2 linked regions of the Pelodiscus sinensis genome follow. The protein of the gene in region 2 purifies or fractionates together with the protein of the main gene of each other region. This does not show direct contact. Links are inferred from orthologs where the notes say so. Each region holds a gene or a part of one and is shown on either strand. Other genes may lie near its edges.

Region 1 (10,794 bases), on a different chromosome or scaffold from region 2:
ACAGACAATGGCCTAGGGCATTGAGCATTTAAACTAGAGAAGAATGTCACACAACTGAAAGTTGCTGGGAGAATTAAGCAACACATGCAGAGGAGTCACATAAAGGAGACTTACCTTGGACCAGAGAGAAAGAGAAAAGGAAATGCAATCCCCTTAGATGGGTCCAGCCATAAAAACACTACAACAAAAGAAAAGGTGCGATCAGCTTCTCACTGCTCAAAAAGACACAAGCAAACAGAACCAAGCTGCCCCTTCTACGGCTTTACCATGACAATTCTTTACAAACGGGAAAGTGTTTCTCTCCCTGTCACTGTGAGAGAGGGTAGCGGGCTGGCTGACTAAACAAAGTGTGGTCTTATGGGGTACCTAGTTGTTTGAAGTGTCACCTGTAACATGACAGGTAACACTACCTGTAACATGGCAGGTAAAACATGGTAAAACTACTGTAGAGGGAAGTTAGTTATGGTGCAGTCCTGAGACACTTTGACAGAGGAGCTGGAAGCACACACAGGAAGACTACGTCTGCACGGTCTCTGGGGAGTTTAGTCTTTCGTCTGGGTAGCAACGCCAATCAAGCAAGTATGCTAAAACAGCAGTGTGGCCACAATGGTGCAGGCAGTGGCTCAGGCTAGCCAACTGAGTATGATCCTGTCTGAGGTGTGTGCTCGGACAATTAACACAAGCTGCTGCCCGTGTGGATGCAAACACATGGTGTTTATAGTATGATGGCTTGATCAGAGTTAGCGCACATGCATCTAGCTAGGAATTACACCTTCCAGCTGAGACAGTCCCTGCTCCAAAGGCCTTAAGAGACAAGACAAAAGGTGGGAGGACAGCAATATTTTGTTTCAGGGCTTTGTAATCCATCTGGCAAGGAAGGTCCAGTGGTTAGGTCACTGCTTGGCACTCGAGAGAGCTGGGTTCAGCTCCTCACTCCACCACAGACTTCCTATGTGACTCAGGGCAAGTCCCTTTATGTCTCTGTTCTGCTGTCTGTACGATGGGGATGAAACACTGCCCTACTCACAGAGGTTTTTTTTTTTTTGTTATTGAAATTGTGAGGGGTTCAGAGCCAGTTAAGAACCTGAGCGTGCTAGATCTCCACCCACCACTGAAGCACCTTATCCCCATTTTACAATTGGGGAAACTGAGTCACGGGGGTATGCCTACCTTGCAGCTTGGGTGTGTGGGTCTCAGCTCAGGCACACAGACTCGTGCTGGCACAGCCCTAGCTAGCATGCTAAAAACAGCAGTGTAGATGTTGTGGGGTTGGGCAGGCCTGGACTCGGGTGGCAATTACATATCTGAAGTGTTGGAAAATGAATTCATGTTTCTTGACTAGCTCACACAATCCTATGACAGATCTTAAGCTGCTTGGAAGACACCCAACTACAGCAAGGATCTTGCACATACCTGCCCAATAATCCAGCCTGCATGGAAGGAGACTCACACCGGTTTACATAACCCCAGTCAATCAGCTCCAACACATGTATATGCTGAAGCAGACACTTGAAAACAGAGGGTAGGGAGAGGAGACAAGATTTTAGGACTTGATATGAAACAGTAGAGTCTCTCTGGCGGGCACAAGTAAAGGCGGGGTATTAATATTATATGGACACCTCTCAAAAACTCCTTGCCAGAATGCCTCAGCTCCTTTAAATATGCACACTTTTCCCACAACATAAAAGGAGAGCAAGCCCACCTCCTCCAACAGGAGACACTAACATGCACCAACAAGGAGCAGAAATGTCTTCTGCGGATTCCAGATCTGTAGTGTATCTCTTGGATCAGAGGCACAACAGGCACAAGTCAAGAGAGGAAGTGAGCTTGGAAAGGATCTAACAGGAGGCTGGCAAAACAGAGAGTGCTACCAGAGAGGTCACCCTAAAATATCTGTCTTTTGAAGTTAGGCTATGCTGCCCCACAGAGCACCCCGCTCCCCCAAACTGGGCTCAAGTCCACAGATCTTGGCAGGAGCTACCAACAAATGTAGTGTGTGGGAGAGGGGGAGAATCACTCAAAATAATGCTTGAGGTGTTTCCTGACAGAGGTACAGGCAAGTAGTTTGCCAAGTAATTAAAATCATGCTAGGAAGAGAGACAACAGTCCCCTTCTCAGGGACTGTTTGGCATCTCAGACATGCTCACAATCTGGAGAAAGGGTGAGGGGCCAAAAGTACAGGAGTGTCAGGTGCACGACAGGTGCACCTTCCGTGGTGGAGTGGCTCAAAGCAAGGACAGCTTACTGGACAGATTAAATTGGAGCCATTCAAGAAAACAGAGGAGCCTCTCAGACCATGAAGTTGCACAGGAGAAGTGTGGATAACATCTGTCCATTCCTGTGCATGGAGCTACTCCAGCAAACTCATGCTCAACAACACTCACACCCTCCTCGCAGTCCACACTTGCAGAATGACACAGACCAAGCCAACCCGCAGCCTCTGCCACGTCTCTGCCAAGCGCACTCCACAAGCTTTATCCGGCTAGGCACAGACCACAGAACGGGGTATTTTCAGCCAGCTTTTGCAGATGTTGGGGGGGAAATCCCCTGAAAACGCAGTTGGCTGCCAGGCAGGCGGGTAGGAGTAAAACTGATTGCCCCTTGCTGGCAGGGCATAGCTGCCTGGCAGGGAAATGACAGCAGGAAGTTTCCCTGCCAGCCATGGGTGGAAGGGCAGGCACTTGTCCAAGGTTGACACCAGGGACTGCAGTGTCTTGGGGGCGCCTGCAGGTCAGGACGGGAGCAGTTCAGCTCCTCAAGCACGGTCCTGAGAGGAGCACAGAAGAGACAGGCTGCAGGGACCCAGCTGTCTGGGGACAGGTAACCCCCGAAGGCCACGCACCCCTTTAGCCCCCTCTCAACACCATCCTCTTAGCCACCCCAAACCACCCCCCCAACTCCCTCATCCCACAGTTCCCCCGTCATCACCCCGCCCCACAAATCACCGCCCCGCAACTCCCTCATCCCACAGTTCCCCCATCATCACCCCGCCCCCCAAATCACCGCCCCCCAACTCCCCCATCCCGCAGTTCCCCCGTCATACCCCGCCCCCCAAATCACCGCCCCCCAACTCCCCCATCCCGCAGTTCCCCCGTCATACCCCGCCCCCCAAATCACCGCCCCCCAACTCCCCCATCCCGCAGTTCCGTCATCACCCCGCCCCCAAATCACCACCCCCCAACTCCGCCATCCCGCAGTTCCCCCATCACCCTGCCCCCAACTCCCCATCCCGCAGTTCCCCCATCATCACCCCGCCCCCCAAATCACCGCCCCCCAACTCCGCCATCCCGCAGTTCCCCCATCACCCTGCCCCCAACTCCCCATCCCGCAGTTCCCCCATCATCACCCTGCCCCCCAAATCACCACCCCCCCAACTCCTCCATCCCGCACTTCCCCCCCATCACCCCGCCCCCCAAATCACCACCCCCCAACTCCCCCATTCCACACTTCCCCCCCATCACCCCACCTCCCAAATCACCGCCCCCCCAACTCCCCCATCCCGCAGTTCCCCCATCACCCTGCCCCCAACTCCCCATCCCGCAGTTCCCCCATCATCACCCTGCCCCCCAAATCACCACCCCCCCAACTCCTCCATCCCGCACTTCCCCCCCATCACCCCGCCCCCCAAATCACCCCCCCCCCAACTCCACCATTCCACACTTCCCCCCCATCACCCCACCTCCCAAATCACCGCCCCCCCAACTCCTCCATCCCGCACTTCCCCCCCATCACCCCGCCCCCCAAATCACCACCCCCCCAACTCCACCATTCCACACTTCCCCCCCATCACCCCACCTCCCAAATCACCGCCCCCCCAACTCCCCCATCCCGCAGTTCCCCCGTCATCACCCCGCCCCCCAAATCACCACCCCTCCAAGTCCCCCATCCCGCACTTCCCCCCCATCACCCCGCCCCCCAAATCACCGCCCCGCAACTCCCTCATCCCACAGTTCCCCCTCATCACCCCGCCCCCAAATCACCGCCCCCCAACTCCCCCATCCCACACTTCCCCCCATCACCCCGCCCCCCAAATCACCACCCCCCAACTCCCCCATCCCACACTTCCCCCCATCACTCCGCCCCCCAAATCACCGCCCCCCCAACTGCCCCATCCCGCAGTTCCCCCGTCATCACCCCGCCCCCCAAATCACCACCCCTCCAAGTCCCCCATTCCACACTTCCCCCCCATCACCCCACCTCCCAAATCACCGCCCCCCCAACTCCCCCATCCCGCAGTTCCCCCGTCATCACCCCGCCCCCCAAATCACCACCCCTCCAAGTCCCCCATCCCGCACTTCCCCCCATCACCCCGCCCCCCAAATCACCGCCCCCCAACTCCCCCATCCCACACTTCCCCCCATCACCCCGCCCCCCAAATCATCGCCCCCCCAACTCCCCCATCCCGCAGTTCCCCCGTCATCACCCCGCCCCCCAAATCACCGCCCCCCCAACTCCCCCATCCCGCAGTTCCCCCGTCATCACCCCGCCCCCCAAATCACCACCCCTCCAAGTCCCCCATCCCGCACTTCCCCCCCATCACCCCGCCCCCCAAATCACCACCCCCCCAACTCCCCCATCCCGCAGTTCCCCCATCATCACCCTGCCCCCCAAATCACCGCCCCCCCAACTCCCCCATCCCGCAGTTCCCCCATCATCACCCCGCCCCCCAAATCACCGCCCCCCCAACTCCCCCATCCCGCAGTTCCCCCGTCATCACCCCGCCCCCCAAATCACCACCCCTCCAAGTCCCCCATCCCGCACTTCCCCCCCATCACCCCGCCCCCCAAATCACTGCCCCCCAACTCCCCCATCCCGCAGTTCCCCCCCTCACCCCGCCCCCGCTCCCCCATCCCGAGCTCCTCCTCCCCCAGTGGGGCGAGCGCCCCCGCGGCGCGGCCCCGGCCCCCGTTACCGTATTTTACCGTATTGCCCGAAGCGGCGCGGCCCAGTCCCGCAGCTTCCCCCCGCGCGGCCCCGCGGCCCTCACCGATTCAAACAGCTGCGCCGCCCCCCATTCCCTCCTCCCTATTGGCTGCAGGCCGGGCGCGCGTCAGCCCGCGCCGATCACGTGAGGGGAGGAACTACAACTCCCAGGAGCCCATGGGCGGTGAGGCCCGAGTGGATCCCGCGAGAGGTGAGGGAACTCTCGCCACCAGGCCCCCTGGGAAATGTGGTTCCCAAAGACCTCCCGGCAACTACGTTTCCCAGCGCGCCTTGCGGAGTGTGGGCGGGGTGGAATTTTTGCTGTGATGCTGGTTACCATAGCGACCCCGCGAGTTCCAGATAGGGGGGCAGAGAGGAGCAGAGATGGTGAGTGTGAAAATGTTTGCACTGAGTGTGAAAAGAGGGGCCAGGGGCTGGTGGATGTGCAAATCTGTGCAGGGCTCTGGTGGGTGTGAAAGGAGAAGTCTGGAACCAGTGGGTGTGTAAATCTGTGCAGGGCTCTGGTGGGTGTGAAAGGAGAAGTCTGGAACCAGTGGGTGTGCAAATCTGTGCAGGGCTCTGGTGGGTGTGAAAGGAGAAGTCTGGAACCAGTGGGTGTGCAAATCTGTGCAGGGCTCTGGTGAGTGTGAAAGGAGAAGTCTGGAACCAGTGGGTGTGCAAATCTGTGCAGGGCTCTGGTGGGTGTGAAAGGAGAAGTCTGGAACCAGTGGGTGTGCAAATCTGTGCAGAGCTCTGGTGGGTGTGAAAGGAGAAGTCTGGAACCAGTGGGTGTGCAAATCTGTGCAGGGCTCTGGTGAGTGTGAAAGGAGAAGTCTGGAACCAGTGGGTGTGCAAATCTGTGCAGGGCTCTGGTGAGTGTGAAAGGAGAAGTCTGGAACCAGTGGGTGTGCAAATCTGTGCAGGGCTCTGGTGGGGGTGAAAGGAGAAGTCTGGAACCAGTGGGTGTGCAAATCTGTGCAGGGCTCTGGTGGGGGTGAAAGGAGAAGTCTGGAACCAGTGGGTGTGCAAATCTGTGCAGGGCTCTGGTGAGTGTGAAAGGAGAAGTCTGGAACCAGTGGGTGTGCAAATCTGTGCAGGGCTCTGGTGAGTGTGAAAGGAGAAGTCTGGAACCAGTAGGTGTGTAAATCTGTGCAGGGCTCTAGTGAGTGTGAAAAGAGAAGTCTGGAACCAGTGGGTGTGCAAATCTGTGCAGGGCTCTGGTGGGTGTGAAAGGAGAAGTCTGGAACCAGTGGGTGTGCAAATCTGTGCAGGGCTCTGGTGGGTGTGAAAGGAGAAGTCTGGAACCAGTGGGTGTGCAAATCTGTGCAGGGCTCTGGTGAGTGTGAAAGGAGATGCCTGGAACCAGTGGGTGTGCAAATCTGTGCAGGGCTCTGGTGGGTGTGAAAGGAGAAGTCTGGAACCAGTAGGTGTGTAAATCTGTACAGGGCTCTGGTGCGGGTGAAAGGAGATGCCTGGAACCAGTGGGTGTGCAAATCTGTGCAGGGCTCTAGTGGGTGTGAAAGGAGAAGTCTGGAACCAGTGGGTATGCAAATCTGTGCAGAGCTCTGGTGGGTGTGAAATGAGATGCCTGGAACCAGTGGGTGTGCAAATCTGTGCAGGGTTCTGGTGGGTGTGAAAAGAGAAGTCTGGAGACAGGGATGGATTAACTCTTTTGGGGCCCAGGGCTATTAGATTTTGTGGGTCTCCCTAGGTTCTAGGTGGGGCCAAAAATGAAGGGTTCATAGTGCAAGAGGGGGCTCCAAGTGGGGGCAGAGGGTTGGGGCACAGGAGGGGGTGAGGGCTCTGTGGTAGAGCTGGGGATAAGGGATTTGGGATGCAGAAGGAGGCTCCAGGCTGGGGCCAAGGGGTTTTGGAGTGCAGGAACAGACTCAGCTCAAGAGGTGGGGATGGGAATGCAGGGTCTGGGCGAGAGTTAGGTGTGGAAGGTGGAGGTGGGGGTGGACAGGAATTTGTGCCGGGGCAGGAGGTGAGGTTCAGGGTCTGGGTGGAGTTAGGGTGCAGGAGGGGGATTAAGATAGGAGGTGGGGTGTGGGGTCTGGGATGGGAATTAGGGTGCAGGAGGAGCTCAGAGCTGGGGTGGGAGTTGGGATGCAGGAGAGGGGCTCCGGGGATAGGGATGTGGGGTCTGGGTGGGAGTTAGGATGCAGTAGAGGGCTCAGGGCCAGGCCAGGTAGGGAGTTGGGATGCAAGGTACTTCCCTGCGGCAGCTCCCCTCTAGTGGAGCAGGCCCTGGGGAGGGGAGGGAGCAGGTGGCTCTATGCGCTGCCCTGTGCTTGCCAGCAACCCCCCCTCCTCCTCCCCGCAGCTCCCATTGGTTGTGGATTTCTGCTAATAGAAGCTATGGGGGCAGAGCCTTCAGGTGAGGCAAGCATACAGATGGCACTTCCTGGTGCTTGCTGCTTCTGCCTAGCGGGGGCAGCAGCACATAGGCTGTGTCCAGACTCCATGCCTCCGTCGACGGAGGCATGTAGATTAGCCAGCTCGGAAGAGGGAAATGAAGCCGCGATTAAAATAATCGCGGCTTCATTTAAATTTAAATGGCTGCCCCGATCTGCCGATCAGCTGTTTGTCGGCAGATCGGGAGAGTCTGGACGCGATGCCCCGACAAAGAAGCCTTTCTTCATCGACACAGGTAAGCCTCGTGAAACCAGGTTTACCTGTGTCGATGAAGAAAGGCTTCTTTGTCGGGGCATCGCGTCCAGACTCTCCCGATCTGCCGACAAACAGCTGATCGGCAGATCGGGGCAGCCATTTAAATTTAAATGAAGCCGCGATTATTTTAATCGCGGCTTCATTTCCCTCTTCCGAGCTGGCTAATCTACATGCCTCCGTCGACGGAGGCATGGAGTCGGGACACAGCCATAGAGCCACTGGGGGCCAGAACACTGCAGCCCCTACTGACTGTGAAAATCTTTGCAAGTGTGTGTGTGAGAGAAGGGGACCAGGACTAGTAGGCATGAAAATCTGTGCAAGGCTCTGGTGAATGTGAACAAAGATGTCTGGAGCTAGTGGGCGTCAAAATCTTCAGGACACTAGTGAGTTTGAAAAGTGGGCTCTGAGGCTAGTGGGTGTGAAAATCTGTGCAGGACACTGGAGTGTGTGTGTGAAAATCCAGGTAATTGCTTGATGAGTGTGAAAGGCGATGCCAGAACAAAGTGTGTGTGAAAAGCCAGGTTCTGAGCATACTAATTATTCAAGGGCATGCCATGTGAAATCACAGTGCTGTAAATATAAATCTATGATGTCACAGAGCGTGCAGCTCTGTGAACTGGGTGTGCAACTCTGTGCAGGCAGCAGCTTGGGTGTGCAGCTGCAGTCAACTTCCCGGTTCCCTGGGCCTCACTTCTGATGGAGAGAGGTAACTAGTGGTGCCCCCAAGGGTCCGTACAGGGACCAATCCTATTTAACCTATTTAAATGGTCTGGTGAAATGGGTAAACAGTGAGGTGGCAAAATTTGCAAAGGTTACTAAACTGCTCAAGATACTTAAGACCAAAGAAGACTGGCAAGAGCTTTAAAAGGATCTCTCAAAACTATGATTGGGCAATAAAATGGCAAATGAATTTTAATGTTGATCGATACCAATGCACATTGGAAAAATAATCCCAACTACACATATAAAGTGATGGGACTAATTTAGCTACAACTACTCAGGAGAGAGATCTTGGAGTCATTGTGGATAGTTCTCTGAAATCATCCACACAGTGTGCAGCAGCCATCAAAAAAGCAAACAGGAAATTGTGCAGACCAGGACTTTCACAGGGTCCAAAAAAGAACTAGATACATTCTGGAGGTTAGGTCCATCAATGGTTATTAGCCAGGACGGGCAGGGAGGGTGTCCCTGGCCTCTGTTTGTCAGAGTCTAGAAATGGGTGACAGGGGAGAGATCTCTTGGTGATTCCCTGTTCTGTTCCCTCCCTCTGGGACATCTGGCATTGGCCACTGTCAGCAGACAGGACACTGGGCTAGATGGACCCTTGGTCTGACCCAGTGTGGTCATTCTTATGTTCTTATGATGAAGCAGCATCCATTTCTGGCATGACTGAACGGAAAGCATGGCAGCTCTTCCCATAACTAGGCAAGACAGGTTCTTATATGGACCTCCTCAGTCCTCACCCTGGTATCAGAGTACCTTAAAGTGCTGGTAGCCTACAAATCTCCCAGGCAATGGACAGTATGGTGGAGCCCTGTGCAGATACAAAACTGGTATCTGGTCTGCAAAAATTGGTCCTGCCATGAGAGCAGGAGACTGGACTCGATGACCTCTCGTGGTCCCTTCCAGTCCTAGTGTGATTCTGTGATTCTATGAAAAATGATGCACGGATAGCTGCATTCACATCTGCGGATGTGGATACCCGTGGATAGAGAGCAGATATCCACGGATTTAGAAGGCTCTAGGAATTGGTGTCCATATCCCAATTGCCAGACCACACTCTGTCCTCACTCAGATCTGGTCAGCCCCACGCTCTGTGGTGATCCTTTGTGTGGTAATTGTTGTTTTCCCAGCCTTGAGAAGAGTGTGAGCACCCCTGAAACCGAGAGAGACCTGTATTAAAGGGCTCTGGCTCCAACATGGGAGACCAGCTCTCCATGTCTTTCAGAAGGATCCTCGCTGCACAAAGGACATCACCAGTCCTGTGGTGCTATTTGCAGAGTAGACATTTTCGAAAGTGTCCCCTGTAATGCCATCCACTCTTCTGCTGCATGCCAGGTGGCTGCTGTTCTGCTCCAGGCGTGGCTGATTTCAGTGGCACAGTGACTTATAGAATCATAAAATACTAGAACTGGAAGGGACCTCGCAAGGTCATTAAGTCTAGTCCCCTGCCCTCATGTGAGGACCAAGCACTGTCTAGATCATCCCTGACAGGAGGCTGTTGAACCTGCTCTTAAATGTCTCCAATGATGAAGATTCCACAACCTCCCTGGGCAATTCATTCCAGTGTTTAGCCACCCTGACAGGTAGGAAGTTTTTCCTAAGGTCCAACCTAAACGTCCCTGGCTGCAATTTAAGCCCATCGCTTCTTGTCCTATCCTCAGAGGCCAAGGAGAACATTTTTCTCCCTCCTCTTTGTAACAAATGTTTAGATACTTGAAAACCGCTGCCATGTCCCCTCTCAGTCTTTTCTTTTCCAAACTAAACAAGCCCAATTCTTTCAGTCTTCCCCCATAGCTCCTGTTTTCGAGACCTTTAATCATTTTGATCACAGTGATCTCTGGGGCATTGTTAGATGCTTTGCGCAGGGGAGCTGGAACCCTACAATCCCTACGTGGTGCTCCCCAGTGATACGCTTGGGAAGCTGAGTGAACGTTTTAAGCAGCTTTGAGCCCTTTGCACAGAAAATGCGTGAGACGTGCCCAGGGCTGGTGGTCCTCAAGCGCTTGTGAACTGAGAAGCACAGTTTGAAAACCAGCTCTCAGAAGAGTAAACAACCTGTGGGGAATCAGCACGCTGCGGCAAAGGCGTTTCCTCGGGCATGAAGAGGCTGAGGGCTGCAAGGGCAAAGCTGTGGAGAATAGCAATCCTCCGGGCTAGCCAGAACCTCACAACCATGCTGGGAAGCGAGCCACAACAGCATGGCTGCCCTTCCATGGATTCATTGGCCCTTCTGCATAGCACAGGCCAGAGGATTTCACCCTGCCTGTGCTGGGGGTGTTAATTTGGGTTTGGCAAACGCACTTTCCGGAAAGGCCTGGCTCGAAGAGACGGAGAATCCACCTTTTCCCTGGCGAGTTTGTTCCAATGCCTGGTTGCCCTCGCCAGTGAACCCTCGCGTTGGATGCCATTTTTCTCATTTCAGTGTGTCCGGCTTGAATGTCTCTCACACCCAGGCCTTTTTCCCAGCCCACGGAT
Region 2 (10,237 bases):
ATCTAGTGTAAGACTCAAAAGAAGATTGGTAGATATAAGCGCTATACTATCAGCAGTTTTACTCACAAAAATTATCATCAGTAGAGGACTTGAATTAACATACAAATGCAAAGATAAAGAACAATTTGGAAGAGAGCTGAATGCTTGTTCACTGTTTCGTTTCCTTAGACATACAGAACTCTAGAGCAGTTTGTGTGCACAGGTAGGTGTCCAATGTGCCAGATGAAATTGGGGAGGTTAAACACGTCTCATGCTAGCTCCTCAGAAACAACTAGAGGGATTTTCTCTAATCACTCTGTGCTTCTGCACCTGGGACTCAGAGCCAGCTCTGAGTGAGCAAAAGAGTGGACTTCCAAGGAAGAAAGTTACTTCTTAATGCCAAAGAGTGGACCTATGAGAAATAACAGAACAGTACACAGGAAAAGGAATATGGAAAGGAGAAAAAGAGTATCTGTGTCTGTCGATAACATTAAAAATGTCACAATCTTAACTTGTTTGGATTACTTCTTCCAATGCATAGACTGCACTTGAGTACTTTATAAATATTAATGAATGAAATCCCATTCAAATTAAAGTCCTATCAAAGAGTCTGTGTAAAGCATAATCTGATCACTGATATATCATTGCAAGTCAGCTGTGTTATGAAATTTTTATGCGTTTTTTTTAAGTGTCTGGTGTAGGACACTGTTAGAGACATATTTAATAACTAAATGAACTATGGGTGAGTTTTGGTATGGTAATTTCTATTACATTTAGAATGATTATTTTGGTCTTATTCTAGGCAGACATAATACAAACCTCAAGCAGCTTTAGAGAAGCAAAGAAATTAGCATTTTCCATAATGTTCTTCAGTCTTTTTCTTTCATAGGCTGACAGCTGTGAAGATCCATCCTGCACCAAACAAACAACAGTAATAAAGACAGTACACAAACATTTAAGACAGTACACAGAGTGCATTAAGAGGCCTGAAGTGTTGAGACAATACTTCTCTGTATAAAGTTACATGGCCTCTTTTTCTTTAAATAAAGAGACAAGATTTTAGGTTCCAAGCATCTCTTATAATAAATTTTACTTTAAGGAGTACTTGATATTTCTCCATTTCCAAACAAGTGTAAAAATATGAATTGGGAGGAATAAGAACAAAACATCACACTCACTAGACAGTACAGGTTGAATCTCCTAAATCTGGGGCTCCCTGGTCCAGCAGGATCACAGATGTTGCTGGATCAGACAACTCTAGTACCCAGACCCCGGTGGGGGCAGCCACAGAGCCCTATCCCCGGGAAGCCCCAGCCAGGCAGGACAAATAGGGCCATGGCAGCTGGGGAGCTCCATCACCGGAAAGCCCCAAACAGGGCCAGAGCCGAGCCCAACCCCTGTCCCAGCAGGGCTGGAGCAGAGCCAACCAGAGGAAGGGGCAGTGTCCTGTGAGGCCGGTGGCAGGGGAGCTCCCCTGATCCAGCAAATTCCCTCATTCAGAATAGGTCAGGTCCCAAAGGTGCTGGACCAAGGAGGTCCAACCCGTAGTACTTTAACAGAGTTCAATTAGCGTGGTCAGTCACTAGCAATTTGCATTTTGCCCTTAATACAAAAAGAAGCTGTAGAGTCCTCATTTTACTGTACTGCAGAAGCATTCTCTCTGCCCCCCATAAAGATATACAGTCACAGGAAAGAATAAAACAACACTAGCCCCAAAGACTGATATTTAAGGAATTACATTTCTTAAAAGCACACCTGCTGAACTTTGAAGAGCTAAAGAAAAATGTGAGGGAGCTAGTCAGTACACTAACTTCAGAAAACCTTTATTAATTTCATGTAGCAACAGAAGCCAAGATGATTTTGTATCAGAATAGGAGTGTTTTATACATACAGCTCAGACACACACTTAGGGAGTTTTAAAGATTGTATCAAAGTTCTTTATGGATGTTAAAATTATTCAATAATCAAATTAATATTACACTGATAAACAAGAAACGAAAACATACAACACGAGGCAATTATATACACTGAAGAGTGTACAAAAATACCAGTGTTAGACTGTCTTATAATAGCTGTCTTCACTATTGTGAAGAGAAAAATTAATTGACTCCTTTTCAGAACTAAAGGTAACTAACTTTTTCATAAGAGTGGAATTATTCAGATATACTCATAAGCCAAATACTGGCTGTAAATGGAATAAGCTGTGTGCTATTTCTTGTCACCTTACAAAATAAGGGAAACATGGTACATTCTGAAAACCATTATTTGGATTTCCAATGCACTTAGGAGCCCTCGTCATGGACTAGGAACCCATTGTGCTCAGCCCTCTACAACTACAGAACAAAAGGCAGAATTAGCTGGAAAGAGCTTGCAATCTAAGGGTAGGACTACTCTTGAGGAGAAAAATCGATGCAAAATATGGAACTCCAGCTATATAAATTGCATCGATTTCCTGGCACCACACAGAGGGAGGTCAACAGGAGAAACACTCCCCTTAACTTCCCTTACTCCTCAAGTAAGGAGTACAGTGGTTGACGTGATTGACTTCAGCGTTTAATTTTGCAAGTCTTTACTAGACTCTTTAAATCAGGGGTGGGGAACTTCAGGCCCATTCTTCTCATATGTTACCAAGTATTTTAACATTAATTATGCTAAGTAAACAGTAATATTTACCTACAACCAATAAAAACAAAACTATATATATTGGTAAGCCAAAAATCTAATCCAGAGGGCAATGTAAAAATGAATAATTCGTCTTGAATAACTATGAAAAAACATGATCTTATTTTTCTATCTTAAAAAAATGAAGTAAATCACTGCATTTCCTTAAAAACAGCAGAATTTTATTCTCTGATGTTTTCTAGGGAGCAAACAGTTCCTTATAGATAAGGTCATCAATTCTTGAAGTTTCAAAATGTGAAAATTTCAAAATGTGAAAAATGCCAAATAGGATAAATGGAGGGCTAGGCTAAGAATATATTGAAAAAGTTAAGAGGACAGTGGGGCCAAAAGACTCTCTGGTCCCCTCTACACCCCTGGAATGGGTGGAGCCTCAGGCAGAAGAGGCAGGGCTGGGACTAGCTTCCCTCAGACAGCCTCAGTGTCTCTCCCAGCATGCCATGCCTACCCCAAGCCTTTTTGATTTGCCAGGCACCAGGGAAGTTGCCCCTTTTGCTTCTCATCTCCCTTGGCAGGTGTGAAAAAGTACATAGTCACTAAAATAGTCAGTGTTTGACTTCTTACCAGATAAGAGGTATCCAAATTGCTTCCTTCATGGTCTGTGTCCCCATTGGTTTCTGAATCACGATCAACCATAACTGAGGTGTTTGTGGATGACACCATGCTACTCTGATTAGGAAGTGAAGACGTATCGGGGATTACTTCTTGTGGACTGGAAGAAGCCTTGTAGGATTCATCTCTTATTTGCAGACTTGTGAGATCATCACAGGATTTTTTGACTTTTGGTTCTCTTTCTGACGAGCCCTCATTACTAGAAAACTTTTCCAGTAAGCGTTTCTGGGGCAGACGTTTGTTGCATTTCTCTCCTTCCGTGAATAAGGGGGTGAGAAGAACTTTCACTTGTTTTCCAAAAACTGCTCTTTTTTCAGCTTTGTCTGATACATAGCTCATGCTGGGGTTTTCTTTCGGTGTACGCTCCTACACAAATGAAGTGGAAAAAAAAATACAAAGGAACACTCTGCTAGAAGGCCGCTCCTGTAACTGGTCTCCAATCAGCTGACTGCACATAACTAGCCCCGGGAACATTTTAACAGCAGCGCCCAGGGCAGGTTTCTAGAAGTGGGGTGACTGTTAGTCTGTAGCTTTGAACCAGGGCTCACAACCTTTGGGGTTTCCGGGCACCTGGGGGGGGCTCCCGGGGACACACGAATGGCTCGGGCTGGCCCCGGTGGCGCCGTGTCGGGGACCGCTCTTTAAACCCAAGGAGCATGCGGGGCGCCAGCTGCTCTGCAGGGGAGACGCGTAGGCAGCCCGGCAGGGGGCAGAGCCCGCGCGGCGCCGGGACCAGGAGCGCGGCTGCTGGGGACGCCAGACGCGGCGCGCGCTCCTTGCCCCCGGGGCGGGGCCCTCACACCTGGCGCGCGCGCGGCCCCCCCACCGCCCGGCGCCGCGCTCGCGAGCCCGCATCCGGCCCGCGCCCGGCGGGCTCTGCCCCCCCCCCTCAGCAGGAGCCCGGACAAGGGGGGGACTTGGCCCGACGGGGTCCGGGGACGGGGCCCAGAATCCCCTCCCCGCCCCCCCGCGCGGCCGGCCCGGGCACCCACCTGCTCCCGCTGCCGGGCCAACGGCTCCTCAGCCCCGGCGCGCGGCATCGCCTCGGCAGCGCGGGAGAGCGGCGGGGCGGGGCCTCGCTTCCCGCTGAGGCAAGGGGGCGGGGCCGCTCCCCTCAGGGGGCGGGGCCGCTCGGATGCCCCGCCCCGCCCCCAGCAGCGGGGCCGCACGTGGCCCGAGGGCTGCTCGCTCGAGCCTGGGCGGGTCCGGGGCGCTCCCAGCCGGGTTAACCGGTCATACTGCAGCGCACAGGAGGGGAGTCTGTTGAGGAAAAAAAAGGGGGAGGCCAAAGTTGAGCAAAAAAAAAAGCCCCCCCCCCCCGAGAATTATTAAGCAAAAAAATAAATTAAAAATAAAGCAGCATGGCCCCTTTAAGACAAGCCTTTGGGGGGCGGCAGGGGCGGGGCTGAGTGTTGTAGGGTTGCCAGGTGTTTGGTAGTTTCGCTTCCTGGCAGGGGAGAGGATCAGAAAACACCGGACATTTTAGGTGTTGGGTATTTTCGGAATTTTTTTTTACCAGACAGGAGGCAAAAATACCGGCCTGTCCGGGTCAATACCGGACACCTGGCAACCCCTAATCTCAACACCCCCTCTGCCCCCCCCCCCGTATCCCAACCCCCCCACCCCAACCCCCTGCATCAGCCCAGGACCACACACACATCCGAACCCCCTGCCTCAGCCTAGAAGCCCTCACCCCAACCCCCTGCCTCAGCACTGAGCCCCTCCCAACTCCGATTCCCTCGCCCCACCTCTCTGCTGGGAGCCCCAGACACCTCGCCCCACCCAAACCCCCTGCCTGAGCCAGGAGCCCCACCCAACTCCGATCCCCGTCTCACTGGCATCCCTACCCCCTGCCTAACCCTCAGAGCCCCCACCCTGAACCCTCAGTCCCATCCCCCAGCTGGGAGCCCCTTCCTGCAGCCCCAAACCTCTCATCCCCATGTGCCCCGAGCCAGAGCCCTTACAGTCCCCATCCTAATTCCCTGCCTCAGGATATTACCCACACCTGGAACACCTCTTTTCTGGCCCCACCCCATACCCTTTGCCAGAGGTCTCACCCCCTCCTACACCCCAACCCTCTGAGCCAGCCTGGTGAAAATGAGGGCAGGATGGAGCACGCACACAACAGGAGGCAAGTGTGTTCATTTGTGTGTCAGTAGCAAGTTGGCAATTCTAGCCAGAGGCCCAGGAATGTCTTAGCATACACTCAATAAAATCAAGCTGGAGTAACATGCTTCTGCAAGCACATAATCCTGTGGTGATTGAGATGGATTAGAAAGTAAGCATTTAATGAGGGAGGAGTAATAGGTAAAAATAATGGGATGAAATGTAATCAGTGGTAATGGCCAATCAGACTAGAATAGCATGGCACCATATGGGTAAAAAGCACATTGCCTGGCTCATTCAAAACCTGCCTCAGTACTGCACTGGAAAATGTAGGAGTTGAGTAGAGATCAGGTGAGGGACTTTACTATCCTCAGCGGGTTAAACAGTGTTGCCAGATGAGGATGGAAAATAGGATGTTTGTCGTCATCTCATTGAGAGTCTTAAATATTAACTCCAGGGAAATATGAATGAGAACTTCTGGCAATGAAGGACAGTAAGTAGTTGTGACGGCACGTTGGGGGTCCCCTGTCTCCTGCACCCCGAAATGGCACAAACAGACTCCACCAGCCGGTGGAATAGAGGAAGTTTATTGCCTCTCCAGGTTACAGCACAGCACAGATGTAATCTGGTCACAGAGCTGGGCTAGGCTGCCTCAGGCCCCCTTGAGATGGGGGAGACTGGGCCCCTAAATTCCAGCCCCTTTCCCTAGGCTGTCTCCTCCATGCTCCCAGCCAGCAACTAACTAACCCTCTTCCAGCCCTGCCCCCCAGCCAGGGCAGCATTCCACCTTCCTCTGTTCCTCTCCATGGGGGGTGTCTGGCCATACTGGTTTGCATAGTGACTCATCCTGTTTTGCTGGGTCGTGGTACCCACAGCAGCCAGTGGGGGTTACCCCAGAGCCAGCAGCATAGAAACCAGCCAGGTACCCCCACTACGTCACAGTTGTCTCTTAGATTTATCAGATTTTGGAAACATGAATCCACATCATTTTGATTTGAGTTCGGAAACTCACAAGTGGGCAAGGGACCCTTTAAGTAGACTCTTCCCTTCCTCTTTGGAAATCTTCGAGAAGGTAATGAATGGGTCCTTGCCAAGGAAATGCCTGGTGTTCTGTACAACTGAAGTGGGGGTTGGTTTTTTTTGCTTGTTTAATGTGCATGTATGACCAGTGGGAACACAGGAAGTATATCTATAGTACCACATATGTTGGTCATCTCATTGAGAATCTTAAATATGGGAATTTCTGTGTTTTTCCATTGCCTAGGAGAGGTGGAGAAGTCCATGTAATAACCTAGGTAGGGTGGAAGTGAAGCCAATGTATGGGAAGAAGCCTATGCTGACAAACTGGAGGGAGTTCAGAAAACAGCTTTGATTAGCAGTATGAAAAACCTGCTTTAATGAAACTAAAGAAAGATCTATTTAGTTTATCAACAGAGAAGATTAAGTGGTGACTTGATTGTGGTCTACAAGCATCTACTCAGAGAGCAGAATTTACCAAATGTTTTTAAAGCTAGAAAACAAAGCAAGGAATTAAGTTAGACAAATTTAAACTAGAAATAAGAGCAGGAGAGTCTGAATAGTCCTTTCTGATCTTAAAAATCTCTGAAGCATTTAAATAACTGCATAGGGGTGAAAGGCAATACCTCCACACTTGATAAATTGCACTACATGGAGACTGTTCAGCTCTCAAGAGGACAGAGGGTTTTCTGAACCTCTGCAGGAAAGGACAGCACAATCCAAGATCCAAAGAATGCCCTTTGTCATACACATAGGCGCTGTATGAGCAGACCACAAAGTTTCACACACATTCTAGACAAGGCCTTCAGATAACCCAAGGGGCTGCTAAACCCAGCAGACATGGGGAAATATCCAATACAATCAAACAGAAGACAGCTAAATCTAACACCTAAAACTAATACTCGTACTGAGACCTAGATTTTGTGTAGAAAACAATTCAAGACCATCTAGCTGACCTAGAGTTAATGAAGGATATCGTCCTTTGTAAGTATGGTCAATGAGGTTTATGGCTCCAGCCATCACAGCTGGTAAATGGTTTTGAGCAACATCACATAGTTGTGTGTGTGAGATCAGAGAGGCAGTGCTCACAGAAAGCACTCTTACAATGATTAATCACTAAACTTCTGTAAAAGTGGTGGGTAACCTGTGGCCTGTGAAACATAGTTTGCTATAGCCCATGTGCAGGGTTGCCAGATTTCGCTGGCTTTTGTCCACATCGCTTTACATGCCTATCACTGTAGTAATACTTGGAGGGAAAAAGCTAAGGCGCAAGAAGTGGGTTTTTCCTCTCACAGACTAACTGACTTCCCCCTGAAGCTTTTACTGTGTCTCTGAGGTGCCATAAGACGTGGTATGTGATCACTTTACAAGCCATCTGGTGCGGGGCAAGAGGAGAGAAGTGGGCTGTGCCCACGAAAGCTCATGGTACCATCTACATGTTCTGTTATTCTCTAAGGTGCTGCTAGACTCTTTGTTGTTTAAGTTTTTCCAGCTATAGACTAACTCAGCTACCCCTCTGAAGCTTTTGCACACAATGTAGATTGTCAGAGCAATGTACTCCCTTTGCACCTAGTCAAAGCACTGCTATGGTTCAGTTGGCACACCCCACAAATTCTAGGTACGCAAGCTCAGTTAACAAAACTGCCCCACCATGGAATACCATTTTGGTTACAGCAATCTTGCAAAATCAAAAAGGAGTCATAAAAAGTGCAAACTAGATCAAATGACAAAGGATGAATATAAGCAACAACACACGTATGCAGGGGCAAGATTAGAAAGGCAAAGGCACAAAATGAGCTAAAACTAGCTAGGGGCATAAAGGGAAACAAGAAGATATTCTATAAATGTATTAGGAGCAAAAGGAAGACCAAGGACAGTATAAGCCCATTGCTCAGTGAGGAAGGAGAAACAACAAGAGGAAACTTTTCACCAAGAAGTTTGATGATGAAGGGATGCCTAACATGGAAAATGCTAGTGGAAATGGGGTAGGTTTAGAAGTTAAAGTTAAAAATTACTTAGAAAAGTTAGATGTCTTCAAGTCACCAGGGCCTAGAATACTCAAGGAGCTGATAGAGGAGGTGTCTGAGCCTTTAGCTATCATCTTTGAAAATTCATGGAAGTCAGGAGAGATTCCAGAAGACTGGAAAAGGGCAAATCTAGTGCCCATCTATAAAAAGGGAAACAACAACCCAGGAAACTACAGACCAGTTAGTTTAACTTCTGTGCCTCGGAAGATAATGGAGCAGGTAATTAAGGAAATCATCTGCAAACATCTGGAAGAAAATAAGGTGACCAGTAACAGCCAGCATGGATTTTTAAAGAATAAATCATGTCAAAGCAATCTCATAGGATATCAAGTCTTGTGGACACAGGAGAAGCAGTGGATGTGGTATACCTAGACTTTAGTAGAGCTTTTGATACAGTCTCGCATGACATTTTTATCAATAAGCTAGAGAAATGCAACCTTGATGGGGCTACTATAAGGTGGGTGTGTAATTGGCTAGATAACCACTTAGAGCAGGCATGTCCGAAGTCCGGCCTGCGGGCCAATTGCGGCCCGTGTTCCGATTTAATACAGCCCCCGCTTCCTCCCCCTCTCCTGGCTCCCCGGCGCTCTTTTGAACTGGCGAGCCCAGCGCGCCGCTTCCGGCCACGCCGCCGCCCATGGCCTCCGCGGTCCTAGAGCCTGCCCTGTAGGGCACGTCCGCAGCCCCGCTCCCCCGCTCGGCTGCAGGTTCGCCCTGCCCCCTGGCCGCCATGAGGCCAGCGTGCCCTGCGCTCTCCGCCCGCCTCCGACCCTGCGGGCCCTCCGCCTTGGGGCTGAGAGTGCGGGGACGGCCCTGACGCATGTTCACTTCTTCAAATCTGGCCCGCTTTGAAAAAAGTTTGGACACCCCTGACTTAGAGAGTAGTTATTAACAGTTCACAATCATGCTGGAAGGGCAGAACAAGTGGGGTTCCTCGGGACTGTTTTGGAACCTGTTATGTTCAATATCTTCATCAACGATTTAGATATTGGCATAGCGAGTGTGCTTATTAAGTTTGCAGATGATACCAAGTTGGGAGGAGTTGCAAGTGCTTTAGAGGATTGGGTCAAAATTCAAAAAGATCTGGACAAACTGGAGAAATGGTCCAAGGTAAATAGGATGAAGTTGAATAAGGACAAATCCACTTAGGAAGGAACAATCTGTTTCACACATACAGAATGAGAAGTGACTGTCCAGAAAGGAGTACTGCAGAAAGATCTAGAGAGTCACCATGGACCACAAGCTAAATAGGAGTCAACAGTATGACAGTTGCAAAAAAAGCAAACATGATTCTGGGCTGCATTAACAGGAGTGTTGTGAGCAAGACACAAGAAGTCATTCTTCTGCTCTACTCTGCGCTGATTAGGCCTCAATTGAGTACTGTGTTCAGTTCTGGGCAACACGTTTCAAGAAAGATGTGGAGAAATTGGAGAAGGTGCAATGAAGAGCAACAAAAATGATTAAAGGTCTAGAAAACATGAACTATAAGGGAAGACTGAAAGAATTGGGCTTGTTTAGATTGGAAAAGAGAAGACTGAAAGGGGACTTGATAGCAGTTTTCTAGTACAGTAAATTCTGTGTTATCCGTCACTCAGGGATTAGGGCGTTCCGGTTATCTAAAAGTTCCAGTTATCTGAGGGTCCCGTCAACCTAGGAAAAACCAATGGACAATAATAGTAAAACTCAAGTTTTTAATACAGTAATTCCTCATTTAACACAATAGATGCATTTCTGAAAATGTTTGTGCTAAGCAAAAGCATGCTATGCAGGGTCAATTTTCCCATTAAAAATAATGGAAAAGGTGGGGGTTGCATTTC

Evidence for each region.
Region 1: the proteins of WDR76 (region 2) and NUMA1 purify together in Homo sapiens (affinity purification with mass spectrometry; 3 studies listed by BioGRID and IntAct, with this or other methods). This does not show direct contact. The link is inferred for Pelodiscus sinensis from reciprocal best matches to the Homo sapiens genes WDR76 and NUMA1.

What each region holds. Positions count from the first base shown.
Region 1 is NC_134711.1:325,288,275-325,299,068, reverse strand, and holds the start of NUMA1 (nuclear mitotic apparatus protein 1), read right to left. Parts: upstream 5,011-10,794; 5' UTR 4,923-5,010; intron 1,501-4,922; exon of another isoform or gene 1,414-1,500; intron 179-1,413; 5' UTR 115-178; intron 1-114. UniProt on the Homo sapiens protein: Microtubule (MT)-binding protein that plays a role in the formation and maintenance of the spindle poles and the alignement and the segregation of chromosomes during mitotic cell division.
Region 2 is NC_134724.1:294,799-305,035, reverse strand, and holds the start of WDR76 (WD repeat-containing protein 76), read right to left. Parts: upstream 4,420-10,237; 5' UTR 4,311-4,419; coding exon 4,263-4,310; intron 3,637-4,262; coding exon 3,223-3,636; intron 892-3,222; coding exon 799-891; intron 1-798. UniProt on the Homo sapiens protein: Specifically binds 5-hydroxymethylcytosine (5hmC), suggesting that it acts as a specific reader of 5hmC.